2 linked regions of the Diceros bicornis minor genome follow. The protein of the gene in region 1 purifies or fractionates together with the protein of each later gene. This does not show direct contact. Links are inferred from orthologs where the notes say so. Each region holds a gene or a part of one and is shown in the gene's direction. Other genes may lie near its edges.

The links.
Region 2: the proteins of S100B (region 1) and IQGAP1 purify together in Homo sapiens (co-immunoprecipitation; 3 studies listed by BioGRID and IntAct, with this or other methods). This does not show direct contact. The link is inferred for Diceros bicornis minor from reciprocal best matches to the Homo sapiens genes S100B and IQGAP1.

What each region holds. Positions count from the first base shown.
Region 1 is NC_080766.1:45,976,738-45,987,960, reverse strand, and holds S100B (protein S100-B), read left to right. Parts: upstream 1-6,783; coding exon 6,784-6,921; intron 6,922-9,597; coding exon 9,598-9,738; downstream 9,739-11,223. UniProt on the Homo sapiens protein: Small zinc- and- and calcium-binding protein that is highly expressed in astrocytes and constitutes one of the most abundant soluble proteins in brain.
Region 2 is NC_080744.1:94,454,213-94,465,439, reverse strand, and holds the start of IQGAP1 (ras GTPase-activating-like protein IQGAP1), read left to right. Parts: upstream 1-5,888; 5' UTR 5,889-5,946; coding exon 5,947-6,001; intron 6,002-7,733; coding exon 7,734-7,833; intron 7,834-11,227. UniProt on the Homo sapiens protein: Plays a crucial role in regulating the dynamics and assembly of the actin cytoskeleton.

The sequences.
Region 1 (11,223 bases):
TCCAAGGAGTCTGAGCCACCTACTCATTTCCTAGACATTTCCATTTGATGATACACTGCTGGTACACACACCAACCTTATGGCTAGGTGGGTCAGACAACACTAGGGCTGCATGGTCTCCTGATGTCCCAGGGTTAGGTGTTCAATCTCTGCTAAGCCCCAGTAGCAAGCCAGAAGCTGTTCTCAAAATGAGAATCCTTAGCTGCCAAAGAGGACACAGACTTGCTCTAAAATCCTAGAGGTCTGAGCTGGGATTCTCCTACTCGTGCTTGTCAGAGGGTCTGTACCACATCCCAGTGTGTCACAGACGCTTTGAATACCATCGGATCTACTGGATCTGAAGGACCAAGGGTAAAGCAGCTTGTACTGCAGCCTAAACCTGCTCTGGTCCCCACTTGACGCTGCCAGCCTCACAGGTTGAAGTAGCACAGGCAAGTGTAGCACATTCGTATCTAAAATCCCCAAACTCTGACTAAATGCTGTGCTTCTTTTCCTGGCAGGTGGTACAAGGTGCAGCACTTTGTCTCTCACTTGAAGGGGACATTTCAACATGTTCCAGACCACTGAACTCCCGGAAACCTCACTGTGGTGGTGGGCCTCAAAATTGTGGAGCTTATCTCCCACTCGCTAGTTTGCATGTGGCTGACTAAGGCATCTGTAGTACTTGCCACTTCCTTCTCATCACACCCAATCAGCACACTGTCATCAGTAGAGTGACCAATGTGCTGCTCTGTGGACTGCCCAGATGATCAAGACGTCTGCAGAGAATATTATGGCGAGGAGCAGGAGACCTGACATGTGCCTGAGGGGACACTATGAGGGTATGCCTTTGGCCCTGCCAGGTAAAAAAGTGCTTCTGGTGGTCTTTGAAAATTGGTTTGGAGAAAACGGTATTAGTCAGATCAGTAGCTGTGTACCAAGTGCCAGGGGCTATGTTGATTTTCTCCAGTGGCGATACCTCATCCGGCACAGCCACTGCAATTTAAGTCACCAGCTGATATATCTATGACAGTCCACAGTCATTCTCCACAATCCACCGGACTTCTGCACGGGCCAAATTGGCAAGTTAAATGGGCTTGTGATAAGTATCACCACCCCTGCTTATGTCAGCTCTTTGATGGTGGCATTGATCTCTGAAATTCTCCCAAGAGCTACAGTATTGCTTCTGGTTTACTTATCACTGTCATGATAAGAAGAAAATTTCTAGGGATGTTCACCTAGCTTTTCCTATCATAATGAGCCTCACCTCGTTATGTAAGAGAGCCAGCAAGGGGATTCTGCTAGTGACCAAGTATGTCTGTTTTGATTATACATTCAGGAGCTGAAGAAATACCTGCAGAGAAAATCTGTGCATGACCTGGGCCCACTGTGAGTTGGTAGAGTTAAGACTGTCACCTGAAATCCCTACTTTGACCAGTGGGCCACAGGTCCATTTTGTGGCCCCAGGAATTAGCATCAATGCAGAGCATCAATGCAGAGCCTATCTAATAATCCCTGAAGAGATCTGGGTATTTCCTTCTCCCTACTACACGGTCGCATTAGTAAGTGTCTGCAGTGCAGGTGGGGAAGGTGTGGAGAACACTCACACACGTACACTGGCAGTAGTGCAGGGTCTCTCTCAAGGGGACCTGCCTCTCCTTCAACCAAGAGGCTCTGGTCCAACCCGACTTCGGTCTGGCAACTTGGAGAGAGGCTGTGATTCTCCACTGTGGTGATTCAAGTCAGGCTTTGGCTACCAGACCTAGAGTTTTCCTGTTGTGTGGGTTAAGGACTACTCAAGTAGGCCGTCCATCTGTCTCATTGCTAGGGACACTGTGATCAGTAAGCCACTGCCAAAGAGCTCTGGGGACCAAGGCATTCTGATTACTGGTCTGTCCCTCTCCCCTTTACAGCAGACACACCCACCCTATCTGATGGTTGAGTGAGGTCATTCAGCTCTGCTACTCTGAAATCCCACCATCCCCACTGAAACAGGGGAGACTATTTCAATGACGGCATCCCATATGGTCATAGGCAGACCACAAGCAAAGAGCTTCACGGGTGTCCCACTCAATAACGTATTTCTAGGTGCTTTAGTACAGGGCCCTCCTGTGGAAAACAGTTGAGGGGAGGCAGTGAATGTGCAAGTCACACATGACTAGACCAGGGGTTCTAGTCTAATGAGATGAGACTCAAAACTAGGGTGTCAGGAAAGGGAAGCAGGGTCCTCTGGAAGTGTGAAGGTCAAGGAAGGACTTCTGGCCCCAGACAACCCTGTGAGGTGAGGGCTCTGATCACCCCCCTCGCAGAACAGTTCTAATTTGTCCCAAGTCACACTTTTGTCAAGTGATGGCGCTGAAACTCAGCCTCGAGTTGTGAGTCTGTGGAAACTTGGTGAGGTCACAGATGTCTTTCCCATGTTCTTCTAAAGTTACATGAAGAACTTGTGTCTGTGAGCTCCTGGGGAGTGGGGGAGGATGCCACCCTGGGGGCCCCACAGCACGTGAAAGCCCCTCTCCTCCAGATGGGCTGTTTCTCTCGCAGCCTGTGAGCCCTGACACCACTCTCTCACTTCTCTGAAGAACGTCCTCTCCCGCCTGCTCCCACAGAAGCTGGAACAGGGTGGGCACAGGACACCACTCTTGGCTGTCCCAGGAGGCTGTGAGGTTTGTGTCCAGATGGCAGGCCCCATGCTCAGGCATCCAGTGGTCAGATGAGTGGATTCCAAACTGCGTGAGCAGGCTGAAGCTTTTTTGTGAACCCTGAAGGGCAAACCCAGAGCCCAGGTTGCCGCGCAGGGGAGTGGTTAGGGTGCGCAGGAGCAGCGCTCCCTCAGACACAGTGCCTGGGCACCCAGCACACGGTTGCTCCTTCCTCAGATGTGGGAAGTTCTGCACTTCACAGAGCAAGCAGGTGTCTGACCCTTCACGAGACCACAGCCTTGGGGCAGCTGAGGAAATACAGCCAAACCACATCGCTCAGGTCCCACTCACGGGGGTGTGGGGACAGGCTCGGGGTCCAGGTGAGGACGACTCAAGCCCCGAGGCTCACAGCCCCATGCTATTTCCAGGGGACATTTCTGGGTGTTGAACAGTCATGAATTTCCTGGTAAAACAGATGACGACAAAACAACTGTATCCACAGACATCTTTGTGTTTTGATCGTTCCGTGGCCACTGTGACCTGAGTCAGCACAAGGGCCCTGATTCTGGTTTAGACGTCCTTTGATGAGTTTGGGGCAAATGCTTTTTGTATAATGAGTCTAGAGGAATGCCTACCATTTGAGTTTCTGCTTGGAAATAGCTTGGGTAGGGTACCACTGAAGACGGGGGGTGGGAAGTCTGTACTTGGCTTTCCTGTGGCTGGTTGTGGGGCCTCAGAGAGGGGCTCACCGCCTGTACCTGTCTATAACACACAGCATTTGGACAGGACATGTCTGGGGCACTGTCTAGGTCTGACAGTCTGTGACTGTTCACCCTGGGGTGAAGGAGGCCTTGGGGTGCACCTGGCACGTGCCTCAATCATATTAAATAAGGATTTTTCCCTAAAAGCATCAAGTTCCTACTTTGCCACACATTTCAGTTCCTGCAGATGTTGGGGTCAGCGGCTTCTCAAGGCAACCCTGCTTAGCTCAGAGTACTGATGTCCGCAGGGCGACCCGTCCGAGGGTGGGGGCCAGACCAGGGGAGAGAAGCTCAGGGCTTCTCCATTGGAAACTCTGTATTCAGAGTTTAATCCTCTGCGTTCATCCTGTACTTGGAAGCTTCATGTTCTTGGCCGCACATTTGCTTTGTCTGAATCAATTAATCCGTCTCTCTCCTCTCCCCACCTCCAACCTTGCCTTTAGAGGAACATCAATATTCGTGTATAAATTTAAAAATGGCACAAAAAGCTGACTCCCCACTTCCTGCCCCATGTGCAGTCCCGGCTCTCCAGCGAGTCCCTGGGTGGCCGTGGCAGTTGGTCAATGCAGCCCTGTGTGCAGGCCTGGCCGCCCCAGCCGCCCCCACCCCCACCCTCGGCCTCCATTGGCTGCCTCGGCCTGCAGTGGGACTGCACCGGCCTACGCCCCAACCGCCCAGGGAGCAAGGAATAAGAGGCTGCCTCTGCCCATCACTCTTGCCACTCCAGACTCTGCAGCCAGAGGTGACGAGGAGCAGCAACCAACAGCCACTGACGTGAGGACACTCAGGAAAACCTATTCTTTTCTTTTGGGGGCAGGGGATCAAGAGGGTGGGGTTGGGAATGGGGCAGTAGTTTAAAAAGTCCCCTTAGGGTAAATGGCAGCGTTTCAAAAGTGTGGATCTTATTACTGTTTTGTGGGCATGATCACCTCAACTCTAGGTAGCTAGAGATTCATTTGCCTATGTTTTTATTCCTATAAATCGGAGAAACCTCAGGTCTGGTGGCTCAGAGGTGACTGCTGACATTTCTCCAGAAGTACTACAAATAGTGCTTCTTAGAAATATTTTGCAATCTTTGCCCCTTGAAGAGCAGGGTTTTTGCTTCTCCCAGGGGCTGAGAATGACGGGCAACCTGACGCTAGTTTAGCCCTATCTCATAAAGCAACATAAAGCAATGTTTTCTCTTCTCGTGGCTTCTGCCCCAGCCCTTGGTATATACCTGCTTCTCGGTTTTCCAGTTTCCCTCAATGGGAAATGTCAGGGTCCCCCTGGACACCGCTCAGAAATTACATGACAACTGTACAGGTAAATTTACAAGTAAATTTACTATTTAAAAGTAAATTACAAAATGGGTCAAAGAAATTGGGGTTTATGGTGAGTTTAACTTTCCTTAGTCTTACAATTTCTCAGGGAAGTAGGACCCTTTCCTTAGAGGGGACCCTCACATCATGTGTGATGTGTCCCTCTAAGGAGTTAAAGCCCAAAAGTTCTCTTGTTTTTCATATAAAAAGATTAATGCAGAATATTCACAGAATGAAGTGAAAAGGAAACATGGATATTTGATTTATATTTTTCTTAAAAGATAAGCTTTAAACCATCAATTGTTTCTCAAAAGGGAGAATCTAATAGGAAAAAATTTTCCTAATTAACTTGTAGTGTGGTTATGAAGAAAATCACATTTTATGGAGTTTTCGAACATATAGACTATATGTTTTATGCCTTGCCTTTAAAAAAATCCCAGTAGGCATTCTTCATGAAAAATTAGTTTAACCTCCCCTTCCCCAAATCATCACAGACTTTGAGAAGCATCAGGATGATACAAAAGTTTCTCGGGTTTTTTGTTTTGTTACTTAAAAACAAAAAAATCAATAATTGAAAACTTGAGTGCAAAGGATAAGAAGGTATGACCTATTAAAGATTTTAATCCATCTGAATTGTTGTATCTACAAGTGATACATCTGATTTTTAGGGACTTGAGAGCAATACTGATTACTAATAGAGTAAATTTAGCAACGATCAGGCCAAGACAAACATTCTCAATCCTTTTTCCCTTAGGAAATCAGAAATAAGTAAAATTTTAAATATTTTATTCCAGTTTATTTTTAAGATGTGACATATTCAACATGGGAATGATTTTTCAACAATCAGATGTAATTTTTTTTATTATTTTTAACTACGGCAGTGCAAAGATTCTTTAATGATTAGAACTCAAGGCCAAAAGTTGGTAAATTTCTCTGGCTGAGTATCTCAGTTTTAAGAGATAACTGACAAGCCATCCTGTCTAAGATGTGCCTAATTCCCAGGATTAAACAGATATTTCCTCAGTTTGCAGGCTGTGGTATAAGATACATGCTGTGAGGGAAGTAGGAAGTTTCTTACGTTGGCAACTGCAAAGAAACACTTATTCCAGCATTTGTGCGGCCACATCAGTGAACAGGCGACACTCCCCTTGCGCACCAGAGGCAGCTCTTGCGTGAATGCTAAACACCCGCCTGTGGCTCATCTTCCTGCCGCGTTTGCCTAGTCTGCCCCAGAACCAGCTTGATCCCATCACCTGATGACACATTTTTGTTTCCAGTAGGTCAAGGTACCTTTCATTGATCTTCTTTTTCAAAAACATGTGTGGCAATTCTGCTGTATTTATTTTTCCAGCTGAATTTTACAGCTGCTTTGTGGTCATGTTCCTCACCCATCAAAAAAAATCCCATAAATATTTTTATTAAAAATGAGCTAAATTTATGTATTAATTCAAAGGAAAGCAAGTTCCTACATTTTATGATCCTTAGAATCTTTTTGAAGGACCTGCACTTTTCTTGCTAAACTTATTCTTAAGTGATATGTGTGTTGCTATATGAATAGGATTTTTCTACTATGTTTTCTAGTTGTTTACTGATAGAATACAGGAACACTATTGATTTTTGTATTCTCGTTTGGCTCCTAGTCACCTTCTTTCTCATTAATTCTAACGGCTTGCAGTCGACGCTTTGCTCAACCACGCTCTGTCACTCGTCTTGGAGCCCTGCAAGGGCAGAAGGTCGCCAACTGGGGAAGAAGGAGGACTCTAGCCCTGAACTCCCTCACTGTTCTGCCTCTGTATTTTTCCTGAAGTTTCCCATTGGCCAAACCCAACTGGAAGCCAGAGGGCATGGGAACTTATCAGTGGGGCCCACAGGGACAGAGAAGAGAGGAGAGGGTGGGAGAGTGGGTCTAAGAGGCAGACGGGAGAATTGTGACAACTGTGCAAGCTCCCAGAGTGCCCTTCTCTAAGCCTGAAAGAAGATGAGCCAAGGCCGGTCTAGCCCCCTCCTCTGGGTTGAGGTCTGTTTAGATAACACTTTAACTGTTCTATATACAAACAAGGCAGAAGCATGAGAAGACATTTTTCCTTTGTGGCCCCCTAGGATGTCTGAGCTGGAGAAGGCCATGGTGGCCCTCATTGATGTTTTCCATCAATATTCCGGAAGGGAGGGCGACAAGCACAAGCTGAAGAAATCTGAACTCAAGGAGCTCATCAACAATGAGCTTTCCCATTTTTTAGAGGTGAGCCTTGCTTTTTAAAATCAACAGTCTAGCCATTCTCCTCTCCACTTATAAAACCACCTGTACACTTTCTCTTCTGAGCTGCCCTGAGGTGATTCCAGTTCCATTTCAGGACTACTAGGTTTCTTCTGAAAAGTTGTTTTCACAACTGAACCCTCATTATGGAGACTAGCTTAGATGGGCCCCACTGTTTTCATTTTCATCTGTTTTGTGTATAGTAGAAGCATCAAGGAAAAACTGCTGTCTCAAAAGTTCCAAATAATGCTGACTTTTCTCTGAAAAAAGAAATCTGAGGATTTACAGCAATAATGATGGCAGAATGGGATGGAAAATATATTTTCATGACTTATCAAGGGCCATAGTGAACATATAAGCAAGTTGTTATAAATAAGCTTTTGTTTTTGGGAAAAGGACCATTTTGGCTAGATGTTTAGCATGCACCATGCTGATAGAAGATGCCATTCACTCAGCCAAAGTTTACTGAGCACTCACTATGTTCAATACTGGGAGAGACACAGGCCTGAAGCCACGGCCTCTGCTTCTGGGGCACCCAGCCAGGCACATCAGTGAAGGGCCACAACCTACTTGCCTGAGGGCACGAGAGAGGCCCCTGCATCCTTTGGGGGCCCTGAGGCCTTGCAGGGGGCTCCCTGGAGTGAGGACGTTGGAGAAGAGTCGTCTTCAGTTTGAGACCCTAACTTAGGAAGCTGCATGAGGGCCCCCGATGAGCCCTGTCACTCTCCAGGCAGTTCCTGCTCTGGCCTGTGGTGGGAGTACGTCCAGACACCTCATGGAGGACTCACTTCCCTACCCACCGTCTCCACTGCCCTCAGATCAGCCACCCAGCATCCCTACTGCATACCAGTCTTGTGCCTTTGAGGCAAAGAACTGCAGTCCACCTGGCACCTGACCTTCCCTTAGTGCCCAGAACCAAGGTCATTGAAGGGACCAATCACACACAGGGGAAATGGCCAGACAATGAACCAGTGCACTAGTGTCTGACCAAGAGCTACTTCTGGGGAAGATACCAGAGCACCAGGCAGGGCCCTGCTGCACAGTGATGGGGAGCCGCCCTCCTGACCTAGCCGAGCCTCTCTGCACAGGACAAGCCCCAGGTTCCAGCAGCAAGGCAGCACCCGTCGTCTGCAAGGCTGGCTGGGGTTCTCCTGTCCCTACTCCCACCCAAACACTCCGTTGCTGTCAATGGCACTGCCAGAGCAGAGGAAGCAGCCTGGAGGCTTGAAAGGGGTTGGTGTCCTCTAGTTTGATTCTGGGACTGGTTTTCTCAGGCATCCAAGTTCAGAGTGGCAGCTGCCCCACTCACACATTCAGTTATCTAGTCCCAACAATTCTGCCTTCCACTTAACAACCAAAAAGTTCCAGTTTCTGGGGCCGGCCTGGTGGCATAGTGGTTAAGTTTGCACACTCCACTTTGGCGGCCTGGGGTTCGAGGGCCTGGATCCCAGTCGTGGACCTACACACCACTCATCAAACCATGCTGTGGCGTTGTCCCATATACAAAACAGAGGAAGATTGGCACAGATGTTAGCTCAGGGAGAATCTTCCTCATCAAAAAAAAAGTTCCAGTTTCTTCTGTAAAAAGGATTGTTGTAAGGATGAAACAAGACAGTGTTTGTTAAATGCTTAACATATAGTGAAAGCATAACAAGTAGTAGCTACTATTATTAACTATTGACTTTAAAACATAAAAAAAGCTTAGCATGTGGGAACCACAATTTATAAAAGAGAAAGAATTCATGGTCAGTGTATCAAGATATCATGAACATTTGTTGGCCTCATTTTATCAAGGTAATTTCGGTTTGGAGGCAAATCTATAATGTATTGAAATTAATGCACTGCTCCCAACCACCGTTCAGCAGATGTTTATAGGGCCCAGCGCAACCCCCACTGGAATCTCAATCTTTCATATGTTTTATACTCAAGGCAGCAATTGTACATTTTACTTGACTTCTTTGGGCCAAGATCTCCTGCCCTAGGGATTAGTTATTCTGAGCAATCCGCATTTATGCTCTTCTTCAGTGTTCAGTGCCACATTCTTTCCACCACATTTGTAGCCCTGCACTGTGTTTGCTCCTCTGAGCCTTTGTGACACCATTCTCTTGGCTTCACTGTTGGACAAGAGAACTGTCAGGAAAAGTTCCATGCCCTATAAGGTAACTCAACAGGCAAAAAGAACACAAGGAGTTAACAAATTTAGGACATGTTCCCAAGAGTTATTTCAGCCAAAAAACACTTTCAAAACATGAAAATCCACTGGAAGCCTTCACTATAGGAACTTCCACACACAGAAACAATGAAAACCTTAGGGGGGCCAAAAGTTCATTTTTTCTTTCAAGACATTTTCATATAATATGCCCATGCGGATCTAGACTGTAGTCTTCTTTTCCAGGTGTTTTGTTTAAAGTACAGTGATAACAACCTGCAGTTTTTCAGGTCTTGGTTGTTCCATACAGTCTTTTTAAATAGCCCAGACCCCCAGAGGGTTCTGCCTGGCCAACAGTCCCTGGTCACAGGAGAAATCTTTTCTGGCATTTTGTATTGTACATCTTGGATTGTTTCTGATACAAATTATGAAAGCCAGCCAACTTTTAATCATGTTTTGATGTCCTTAAATTTCCTTTAAAAATAAGCTGGGCAATTTCTCTTATCTCTCAGGAAATCAAAGAGCAGGAGGTTGTCGACAAAGTCATGGAAACATTGGACAACGATGGAGATGGTGAATGTGACTTCCAGGAATTTATGGCCTTCGTCGCCATGGTTACCACTGCCTGCCACGAGTTCTTTGAACACCAGTGAACTAAAGAAAGCAGCCAAGCTGTTCCTGTAACAGAGATGAAGGTCACTAAAGGAAGCAGAGAGCAAGGGCTTGCAGGCTAGTAGGAGCCGAGCTTTCCAGCGCGTTGTAGCTAATTAGGAAGCTTGATTTGCTTTGTGAATGAAAAATTGAAAATCTCTTTCCAAGGGCTGTTTTTAATGGCCCCCATCATTATTTCTGCTATATTAGGCATATGTGTTAGCTGGCTGGTCCCTGGGACTCTTGGTAATAATCATTTAGGAAAGTCAATTCTCAGTCATAAAGCATGTGCTCTACTGGCTGCTGTGGCTGTGTAGAATCCTAACCCAGAAAAAACAAACCACCAAAAATGACCCCGGACATTTGTAGTTTCCTTGTCTCCACTACATTTAAAAATACAAAGCTTTGTCCACCGCCCTTTGAAAAGGCTGCCCTGCCTCAAATCTGTTCATCATCAGTGTAGATGAAACCCACAGTAGTTAGGTGATCTGACAGTGCTGCCCCACCTACCTATACAGCATGGTCACGTTTAGATCCCTTTGCCTACAGTGAGCTGTGATTACCGAGTAAATATTTAATGCTAACAGTTCTAAATGGAAAAATATGTCTCATAAACCAACAAATACTGATATTTTAACTCTAAGCAGAACTGAGAATCAAAATTCTACATTCAGTGTAATTCTTCGGATAAGATCACAGTTTGCTGGATCCGTGGGACCTGTGTGCAGCAGAAGGAGCACGCCCGGGCTCAGGACCAGAGTTTCAGCTCTGACACTCTGGAGATCAGTGTACTGCAAGTAATTTCGTCTCCCTGGCCTCCTCTGTCTGTAAAATGATGGGTTCCTAATGAAGCGCCTGGTCTGTCCGTGGATGTCGTGCTTCACTTGTTTGTGCTCAGTCAGGGTCTGCTCCCCGCTATTGGTGAAGTCAGCGTCAGTGGAAACCTGAACTTGTGCTTTTGTACCCACGAATTCAAATAAATCATTTCAAATAATTCAAATACACAAGTTATAAATACTAAAAATCACTTCCAGGGAAATTCAAATTAATCTTATCCAACCCTTTTCCTGTTTTATTTTTTAAGGCCACAGACTTGGAAACTCATAAACCAACTGATCGCTTGTACTTGCATTAAATAAAACGAGCACTGTAACAAGTCTCCGTAGCCGCTCCACATGGAATAAAAGCGAAACACCTGCAACACTAGGGAGACGAGCGAAGTCAACACGGCCTGGCATCATCATGGCAGCAGATGCTGCATTCCACAACGCCAGGGCGGGGGCAGGAGGCGGGACACTTGGATGGGGCCCGGCATGAAGGGGTGGGGCATGGAGGGGTGAGGAGGGGCGAGGAGTGGAGGGGCGAGGTGTGAAGGCGGGTGTGGAGGGAAGGGTGAAGAGGGCCGAGGTGTGAAGGCGGGTGTGGAGGGCGGGTGAGGAGGGGCGAGTGTGAAGGCGGGTGTGGAGGGGCGGGTGAGGAGGAGCGAG
Region 2 (11,227 bases), on another chromosome or scaffold:
AGATAAATTGATTAGTAACCTTAATTACATCCGCAAAATCCCTTCAAAACAGTACCTAGATTAGTGTCTGACTGAATAACCAAGGATTGGGAATCTTGGGCAGCCCTCCTAAAATTCTGCCTACCACAGCATGGCTACAATCCCCTGAAAAGCTATCCCTTGAGGTCCTTAACACTTAAAGAATGTTGAGAAGCTATAGCCTCAGATTTCCCAGCCTCTTTCACAAGATGTTGGTATCCAAAAGCCTATATGTTCTTATACAAGGCAAGGGACTAAATCAGTCAAAATATTACTATCTGTCCTAGGGAATCCATCCTTCTGAAAAATTTCTATATAAACTACATAAAAAGCAAATACTAAAATCCCAACGGTAAGAATGCTACATTTGTTAACTATTCACACTGAGTTTATTTACCCAAATTTCTGTCTTTGTGGAGTTAATGATCTGTCTGGGAAAGTGGACCTGTAAATAACTAATTATAATTCAATGAGCTAAGTGTTATAATAGAGTTACATAAGGTTACACACTTCCTAGAATTGAAGACACCTTTGATTGTGGGATGTACCATCATATTTCAACATCTTTTGGGGTCATTAAGAATATCCTATCAAATGTATATATTTGAAAAAACTTGATGGACAATAGCATATATTTATCACTGGAATTACTTACTAACTTCTCTAAATCAAAGCGGGAGCCAAGCTTCTTATGAAGAGTCTAACTCTATTTGGATCCACTAACGATTCCTAAAGCGTGAATCTGTTATCAATTCTAGCTCTGAAAGTTCTCTGAACTTTTCTGAGAAATTAGTTAAATTCACACATCTGCAAGCAATGACAATTATGTTACTTTTCCATTACTTCTCTACCTGGTAGACGGCTAGTTTCTTTTTTTCTTTTTCTTTTTTTTTTTTTGAGGAAGATCAGCCCTAAGCTAACATCCATGCTAATCCTCCTCTTTTTGCTGAGGAAGACCGGCTCTGAGCTAACATCTATTGCCAATCCTCCTCCTTTCCCCCCTCCCCCCCAAAGCCCCAGTAGATAGTTGTATGTCGTAGTTGCACGTCCTTCTAGTTGCTGTATGTGGGACACGGCCTCAGCATGGCCATAGAAGCAGTGTGTCGGTGCGCGCCCGGGATCCGAACCCGGGCTGCCAGCAGTGGAGCACGCGCACTTAACTGCAAAGCCACGGGGCCGGCCCCGGCTAGTTTCTTTTAATACTGATTGTAAGACCTATCCTGATTTCAGAAGTTAAAATGTGAAAAAACTTGGGACTTCTTTTTGAAGACATGGTTTCTAAAGTGCTACTTGGAAATAAATGAGGAAGTGATTAATTTTGCCTGGGAGAGGAGATGACATTTGTGTTGGGTCTGGGAAGTTGACTAGGTTTTTCTCAAGGAAATAAGAGGCTAAAATGTATTTCACGCCAAAAGAAACCTCTATTATGGTTCTTATCTGAAGCTATCCTGTCAATATTGCTCCACTCCCCTGAGTCTGTATATTCCACGGTCATGAACCAATTCTATCTCCCAAAATGATCATTTAGCTCATTATTATGTCGTTTAACTTTTATTTATTTATTCATTTCATATTTACTAACATTATTCATACTTATACCTACTGACAAAATAGTATTTCTAGTAGCTCATTGTAAAAAACTTGGTAAATGCAAAGAAGCAAATAAACAAACAAATCCCACACAAATCCACTGTAATTCCACCACTGGAGAAACCACTGTTAATGTATTGGTGTATAGGCTTCAAGGCTTTTTTCTATTCATATGCACATCTATATCTATCTATATGTTTTTAAAGCAAAAATGGTATCATAATATGTTTATTAGTTCATAATTTGCTTTTTTTTCCACTTAACCATCATATTAGGAATATTGATCATTGTTTGCCTACCCAGCCTCCCATTGAAGGAAATAATGCCCAGCTCACAGTTTTCTATCCTTAATTGGCTGTATTTCCTGACCACAGCTAATTGAACTAAAGGATTGGCATCTGATCCAAGGGCAGCCCACTTGTGGGCATTCAGAAACATACACATGGGGTGAAGAGATGAGCTGGGCCAATCATATGCCACTGGGTTACGGGAATTGGGCAACTGAGATTATCCTCAAAGGAGCTGATGGTGTAAGGATGTCATGGCCCAAGGCCATGGCAAGCCAAATAGAAGCCAGAGTTGTGACGGAGCAGAAAATATTAGAATTGATGAAGCTGGTTGCCGAAGAGAGGAGGGTAAGAGCAGACCTGTGGAGAAGCAGATATACCCAGAGGGACAGAGCCCTGCCTTCAAGCTTCCGTTAGTCCTGTTTTTTCTTGCTCTAGTTCCAATCCATATATATCTTTATTAGAAATACCTCCCTTCCAGGCTTTTTTCCTCTAGAGGTAAAACAAGTGGGTCTCCATTCCTTGTAGCCAGGCAAGCCTGACCAGAACCACAAATCATCACTATTATGACTGTATAGCGTTCCATTGTGTGGAGGTGCCATCACTGATTTAAAAACCTAGTGGTGGGCTTTTAAGACATTTCCAATGTGCATCTTCATCACTAATTTTTGCACATTAAAAAATAATTTTGGGGGCTGGCCGGGTGGCGCAAGCGGTTAAGTGTGCACGCTCCGCTGCGGCTGCCCGGGGTTCGCCGGTTCAGATCCCAGGCGCACACCAAGGCACCACTTGTCAGGCCATGCTGTGGCGGTGTCCCATATAAAGTAGAGGAAGATGGGCATGGATGTTAGCCCAGGTCAGTCTTCCTCAGCAAAAAGAGGAGGATTGGCAGATGTTAGCTCAGGGCCAATCTTCCTCACACACACAAAAAATAATAATAATTTTGTTATGATATATTCTTTTAAAGAAGTGGAATTCTTTGAAAGATTGCTACATAAATGCTAAGTTGGACTTCAGAAAGATTGTATCAATTTACAGCCCAACCAGCAGTGCATGAGAGTGGTTGCTTTTTCAACCCTTTGCCAATAATATCAATTAAAACAAAACATTGCTACTCTGATAGGCAAGAAGTGGTAAGTGGCCAGTTATGATCTTAATGTTCATTTCTCTGAATCTTGTGTTTATTGACCAGGCACGTAGGCTTTGTCACTAGACAAACCTGGGTTTGAGTTCCAGCTCTGCCTCTTGCTGTGTGACCTCAGTTGAGTTAGTTCTCCATTTTCTCATCTGTAAATTGGAGATAATAACAGTTCTTACTCTGTAGGATTATTATGAGGCTCAGATGAGAAAATAAATACAAAACAGTCCAGTAACGCCTCAGTACATTTCAGTTATTATAGTTATGAAGTATGAATTAATTTGTGACCATCAGATAAAGCAATGTGAGCTATCTGAAACTCAATAGGATATTGATTTAAATACCTGTTAGAGGGCCGGCCCCGTGGCTTAGCAGTTAAGTGCTCGCGCTCCGGGCGCGCAGCGACGCACCGCTTCTCCGGCCATGGCCATGCTGAGGCCGAGTCCCACATACAGCAACTGGAAGGATGTGCAACTATGACGTACAACTATCTACTGGGGCTTTGGGGGAAAAATAAATAAATTAAAAAAATTATAAAAAAAAATACCTGTTAGAATTGTATGGTCCTAGGAATAAGAAAAAATGCAAGAGGCCAACAGGTTCATAATCTTTATCGTTAGAGAGAAAATACATTTACATGTTTGGATTCCATCCATTTACACAGGTCTTTAGAATTAAAATAAAAACACAATGTACATATCTTAAAAGCCAAGAAATATAAAATAAAATCAAAAGATAAACTGTGTAGGACTTGCAGATTTCTCAGAGTAGTTAGAGGATGAGGTAACGAGTTTTGAAGACCATGACATAATATAAAAAGGGGCTCAAAATGACAGTTGACGCAGTGAGAAGAATGGCTCTAAAAGTCTGTGCCTCCAGGACTTATGTCTGGTAGAAATGTCTGATCGAAAGTAATCTTAGTTAACTAGGTTGGAAACTGGCTTTCTTAGCAGCTCTGTGTCTTTCAACTCAGAGAAGCTTTAGAATTAAATACAGAAAGGCTTAATGGGGTAAAAACTGTGGGATTAATATGTTGGTGTTAAGAAGAAATATGTGCATATTTCACATTTCATGAACTTGCAATCTTTAAGAAATTTTGGCTTATTAGAGTGACAGCCTTATAATTCATTTTAAATGTATAATTGAGTTAGTTTTAGACTTAAGATTTTGAGTTGAAATCTTACTAAGTTTACACTTGGAACTGGGCTAAGAAAACTTTGGATTCATTATATTTGTACGTTTACTTGATTTATAAGGATTACTAAACTCTGAAAGGTTCTAGATTAGATAACTGAAGAAATTAAAAAGAAAATCTAAGATATTTTTATGGACATAATTTTAAATGTTTGAAGATGTTGGATTAACTAAGTTTGTGAATGGGACCAAAAATTATTCAAAGTTTCTGAAAAGTGGTAAAATATGCTAGACATAACTAGAATAAAATTTGTAAGCTGAACTTAAAAGCTTAAGAAAGAACTAACTTTTGAATTTGTTGTAAATTAAACCTTTGCCCATTTTTTAATGGGGGTGTTTTGTTCTTATGTTTTTAAGCAACTCACTTTAGTACTTTGAAGGAAGAGTGGATAAATTGAAAACAGCTAGAGCAAAAAGCCTGGAGTCAGGTTGTGAAGGGGCTTATTTGGCATGCTAAGGAACTTGGACCATAACCCGAAGGGAGTAATAGGAAAAAATATAAAAAGGAATAACACAACTGCGTTTGCACCTTAGAAAGAACATGCTGTTGACTGTGAGGAGCTAGTTGGCAGAACGGAGAATAGAGATAACGACAATCTGAACTGTGTAATCACAGTGGAGATAGAGACAAAAGCAAGACACTTCAGAAGCAATACCGATTGGATTTAGGGCACGAGGCAAGGAGACTGGCGTGTCCCGGCTGCGAACTGAGCACTTCTGTTAGTAGAGAATATAGCAGGAGCAGGGGCAGTTTCGACACGTTAAATTTGAAGTGTCTGCGGGATTCAGAGGTGAAAATGTCCATTACACAGCTGAAAATATTGAGTTAGGGCTTCTAGAGGGTCTGGTCTGGAGCTATATATATTTAGGGCTCTTCAGCAGTTCAAGGTGAGCACAGATCAAGTTACCAAGAGTGGGCAAAGAAGAGGACTGACCGAATTCTGCTGAATACCAACATTTTAGGGGCAGGCCACAAAGTGCAAGAGGAAGAGGCATCCCTAAAAGGGGCAAGGAATCCCCTAAAAAGAAGAACTTAACAGTGGCAGGAAATCCAAGGCAAGGAAGTTTGGACAAACACTGTTCTCCTGCTTTAGCACCCACTTCTCAAATACTTGGGGGGTGGAGGAGTCCAAATCTGGCGACTGCTGGCGAATCTAGGAGAGGACTGAAGCCAGACTGCCAGACTGTGAGGTCCCTTATGGCAGTTTGTGTCCTGCTTGTGTCCAGCAAGAACACGCTAGGGCACTTCAACAGACGCCTTCCTTGAGCTCTTTGGCGCAGAGGAATTTATATGGGCAGGCAGTGGAAGGGGAAGGCCCACGTTTTCTATTTCAAGCAACCGACACCGTTGGCCTTTTTGTCCGAGGCGCGGCCGGGGCGGCGGCCGGGGACGCAAAGGCTCCAGGGCAGGGGCGGACCTTCCCCACCAAGCGGAGCTCGTCGCACCTCGATTGGCAGCCGGGCTCCGCCTCCTTCCTTCCACCTCCCGGGACCGTGCGCGCGCAGGGCGGGGCCGGGCGGCTCTGCCCCGCCCCCTTCCGCCCGCTCCCGTCAGCGCGGCAGGGTGGGGCCGCTGGGGTGGGGCCTGCGGGTGGGGCGGTGGCGCGGGGCGGGGCCTCCGGGAGCAGGGCAGCCCGCGCACTCTGCAGCAGCTGCCGCCGCCGTCGCCCGCGCCTCCGAGGTCTCACCTCTTCCTCAGCAGACCCGGGCTCGGCCGCCATGTCCGCCGCGGACGAGGTTGACGGGCTGGGCGTGGCCCGGCCGCACTATGGCTGTAAGTGCGGGGCTCCGCGGCGCGGGGGTTTCGGGCCGGGCTCGCTGCCTCCGAGGTGCCCTTTCCCCGGGGAGTCGGCCAGCCGGGTGGGGCAGGGCGGCTGCGGGCCGCGCGGACCCGGAAGAGCCGGGCGGCGGGCGGCGGCGGGCTGGAGGGGTGGCGGGCGGCGAGGCCCCGGGCCCGCGCCCCCGGTCTCCGAGGCGGCGGGGAGGACCGGGCGCGGGGGCTGGAGGGCCCCACCCAGCGCCTCTCGCCTGCCGCTCGACCGAGATTGGGGAGCCGGCCCTGGGTGAGGTGGCAGGCGGACGCCGCAGGGCGTGTCCCGGGGCCGGGGAGCGGAGACGGGGCCTCTGCTCGGCCTCGTGGGAAGGTGCTGCCTGCGAGGTGGACCCGGCGTCCATACCTGCCCGGCCCCAGGCTAGCCGAGAGGTGTGGCCCTGGTCAAGTCACTTCAGCTTTCGTGGGCTTAGTTCCCTCGTCAGGATTTCAAAAAAAAAAAAAAAAACCCACCTCTGACTTCCTCATTTTCTGTTGCTGTCCCTAGGACATCATTGGATCAGGCGGCATAGTTACCAAAGGCGAGTCCTTTGGAGTCTTGAGGTTTTCAGTTTTATGTTCTGGGACTAATGTTCTGTTTTTAGGATAATTGCACTCAACAGTTATCTGTGAGGTCTTGTGTCACGTTTGTGAAATTAAACATGAGTAAGACTAGGCCCTGCCTTCAAAGAACGTTTTCATTAGAGAGACAAACAGGCGTACAACCTAATGCTAATAAGGTGTAGTGAAGATAAAAGATGCAGTGAACTAACTAGGCATAAACAGTACCCTGAGTGGGGGGAGGAGCGTGGGGAAGGCAGGAGGAACACAGGGAGTGACGTTCTGACGGAGCCTGTCTTCAAGGATGCTGTGTAAAGTTTGACAGGGCAGGGTGGGCCAGGAGACATGACGAAGAGAGAAGAGTATAAACTCTTCTAAGGCGTTGAAGAGTGGAAGGGTGCTGTGTGTGACAGGAACTGAGTGGTGTGGAGTGCACAGTGGTGGGAGGAAGAACAGGGAGAGGGAGGAGAGTTTCCAAAAATAGTTGGCGCTAAATTGGGAAAGGCCTTGAATGCCATCCCAAGGAGTTAGGAATTTATTCCATACGTTGGTGCTCATGAAGGAGGTTGATTGCAGAGGTTAAGCTCACAGGCTTTTGAGACACTGCCTGGGTTTGGATCCAGGCCCCATCATTTATTAGCTGTGGGGCTAAGATCACCCAGCCTCAGTTTTCTCATCTATAAAATGAGAGTGACAGTTACAGGCTAGTGAGGCTTCAATGAGAGAATGCATGTAAACTGCTTAGCCTTATTACTGCCACTTAGTTCTTAATGACTGCTGGCTTTGGTTGTTAATAAAAGAGGGAGATACCATGATCAGCTCTGTACTTAGAGCTAGTCTGGCAGATAGACGAGGACAAATTTGGGCCAAAATCTCAAGTCAGTATTTTTCAAGTTACACTGAATTTTAGTACATGTTCATATTACCATACTTTTTAAAAAAGGGTAAGATGAGTATAGTTGAAACCCCGTAATTCCTGTTTTAGGACAGTCATTGTTGTACACCTGGCTACCCACACATCCACAGGTTACCCTGAGTCTCTAGGTGACTAGCAGGAATTTGATGCTGTGGCATTCTTTTATCGCTTGGGAAGGTTACAGATTCTTATGTTTACATTCTTTCTTTCATGTTTTAGCTGTCCTGGATAATGAGAGACTCACGGCAGAGGAGATGGATGAAAGGAGACGTCAGAATGTGGCTTATGAGTACCTTTGTCATTTGGAAGAAGCAAAGAGGTAAAGATTGGCTGGCTGGAGAGAAGACTGGGAGAAGGGAGCTGATATGGTGTGAACACAGATAAAGATCTCTTTGAATGTGTTGTAGGTGTGACTGTGGGAGGCTGGTAGTTTGAAGGAATAAGTATAGTTAGGGTATTTATTCATGGGAGCAAGTAGCCTTGATAGCAGTTTATCGTGAAACATTGATGGGCACTTACATATACTGAAAAATTTCCAGATTTGTGTTGTTCAGTTTCATGCTTATGATGCGTGTTTTGGGCACTGCCAGTTGTAGGGAAGAAATAGCGTTTTTAGTGTTTGAAATTCTTGGCCTTTATGTTTCACTGGTTTCTCACTGGTTTTGATTTATATGAATTGGGTCCATTCTCCCCTGGGTAATGCTCTGGGTATAGGTCCTCTATTTGGCAATGTTAAAAGACGGTTTACCAAAGGCAGCATCCTCTGCATTCTTTGTGAAGTGAATGTACAGCTGCTGTTTTCTGATACTCCCAGACCTTGTGGTCTTATTGTTAGAGTGTCAATTTGCTATCAGTGGTTCATTTCTTTTGTTCTGGTGCTTGTGTTCCTTTGCAAGGTCCCAGGGTAGATAGATGTAATTACAGATCATTTATCCTATAAGTGAGCTTTGGTGGAAAAGGCCAGCAAGGGCTAATCAAGGGTATTGGTGATCAAAGTCTACTGAAAATCAAGGATGTTTCAAATGGTGCTAATAAACAAGAGTGTTTTGGTAATTCTGAAGATCTTAAAACGCTACAGGAAAGTCCAGAGAACAAAACAACAAACATCCATGTATTCCAGAACTAACAACTGTTAGCCCTTCAGATCTTTCCCTTTCCTCTTAAAAGACATGGAGTCCTTTTTGTGCCTCTCTCTGGTCCCAGTCTCCTCCTTCCCATCCTTGGGCCTACCACTAACATGCATTTGGTGTGTCTTCTTGATTCCAGGCTTCTTTTCTGAGCTTAAAGCCCTTCCATTAGACTGGGGAAGGGGGACTGGGATTAGTGATGATTTAGGTGGGGAGAATGATAATAACACTTGTTTTTGTAAATGGAAGGTTAGACAGCAGGAGGTGAATATGTTATTAGAAAAGGGGATGTTTCTCATACAAAGTTTGTAAGGCTCCCGTGTATAAAAATACTAAGTCCTCTGATACTTGCATTGTGGATTAGATCTAGTTTTGGAAGGTCATAGAATTTGAAAGCTGCAGCTGGTATGAGAGACTGTCCTGTGCTCTGTGAAGCCTTGATGTCCCTGTTGAGGTGACCTAGGGATGAGAGGGAAGAGGCCCAACTTGCCTTCCTTCCCCCATCTAATGCAGTTCTGCTTTTGTTTTAATATTGAGTTTCCATAGTAAAATTCCCTTTTTGCAGAGGATGTCTTGGCTAACACCCCCTTGCTGCCACTGATCTGATTCAACTGTCTCATTTCAGTGAGGAAACTGAGGCCTGAGTTCTCATAGTTTACTTGTAGTTTTTTTAATTGAAGAATATTTTCATCATTTTATTCAGCAGTTCTTAACCAGATGTGTGCATTAGAATCACCTGGGGAAACTTTAAGAAAAATACCGATATCTGGGCCTTACCACCGAGATTCTGGTTCGGTAGATCAGGGCTGGAAGGTCCAGATACCTGTATATTTTAAATGCTTCCAGTGGTTGTGATGCCACACACACACACAGCCACCCGCCCACCGGCCCCCCTGCCCAAGGGGAGAAACAAGATTTAAAGCATTTTTAGAACCCTGCCTTATGCTGGGTTATTCGAGCCTGAACAGAGTGGTGCTCTTCATCACATTTCCTTCTTCCAGTGCTGCACTAGCAAGGCTCTTCATTTCCATCTGCTCCAGAGCATATTCTTTTCTGTCAGATGTTTTTTTTTTTTTTTCTTTTTTCTTTTTCTTTTTCTTTGTGAGGAAGATCAGCCCTGAGCTAACATCCATGCTAATCCTCCTCTTTTTGCTGAGGAAGACCGGCCCTGAGCTAACATCTATTGCCAATCCTCCTCCTTTTTCTCCCCAAAGCCCCAGTAGATAGTTGCATGTCATAGCTGCACATCCTTCTAGTTGCTGTATGTGGGACGTGGCCCCAGCATGGCCAGAGAAGCAGTGCGTCGGTGCATGCCTGGGCTCCGAACCCGGGCCCCGAACCCGGGCCGCCAGTAGCATGCACTTAACCGCTAAGTCATGGGGCCGGCCCTGTCAGGTGTTTTTTCCAGAATAGAAAAGTATCCCATTTTCTTTAGAACCCATCCAGGGGGCCATGATCCCCTGGGGTGTTTTTGTTGGGTGCTTTTACATACTTAGGGAAGCGACTAAGGCAGCAAGACAGTTGTGATCATCTTTATTTTTTATGCTTTGGGTTATAAGAGAGGGCATAATAGTGGCATATTGCCCTGGTACACTCTGCCCATTGGCCTGCATTGTGGAAATGTGCCCTGTTTACTTCATGGAGGCAATCATATAAACTGAATGTGGTGATTTTTTTTGTTTAAAGCTTTGATTAGAATATCAACTTTGGAAGCACCTATTTAAGTTTTACAGCTAGAGAGAGCTAGGAAAAGAAGCCTAGGAATGTCATGCTGAGAAAAGAAGACTGGGATTCCTACGGGTCACCTAATGTGGCTGCTGCCACCCCTAAAAAGTGTTTGAGGTACACCACAGACAAATCCCATGCTCTGCCATGTTCGCTGGGGCTTCAGCTCCCAGTTGTGTCTCCTACTCTGGTGAGCTGGACTGTACTTTGTATGCTGCTGGGGCCCCTCTTTCCCCTCTAGTACAAGCCCAATTTGCCTCTTTGGATTGGTCCCATCCTGTTTCCTTTATAACCTCCACCCCTCCCAAGTTGGAGGAGCCCCAAGGTCTGGAATTTACACCCATTCCAAGGCCAGGAAGAAAGATCAGAGAGATCCAAGGGAGAAAAGTTTCCCCTCTTTAGTTCTATTTATACTACTGCCACTCATCCCGCTGGAAGCTCCACCTTATAGTACAGTGGCCCCATTGTGTATCCTAGGGCACTCCATTTTCTCCTGTACCTGTTACAGCTCTTTCATGGGAAGAGGAGAATGTGTAGAGAGTGAATATGAATGTGTGGAGACAGTGAGTGTAAGTAAGAGTGTGTGTAGATTCATGAGAGTGTGTTATAGTTACGGGTTTGTGTTTCCCCAAAAGGTTAAGAGGGAAAATTTAGGAGTGATTCCATAAAGTGTGCAGGGAGTGGTTGGGAAATAGAAAATACAGAGATTCTGCTTTTCTCTATTGCTTAGAGAGTAGCTTCAATATGGGAATTAAGTTATTGTTCTAATGAAATATCATCTAAGGATTCAGGACTTTTTGTTAGGGCTGCAGAGCAGACCAAGGATTTATAGAGGGAGACATCTTAAATTACATATTTATG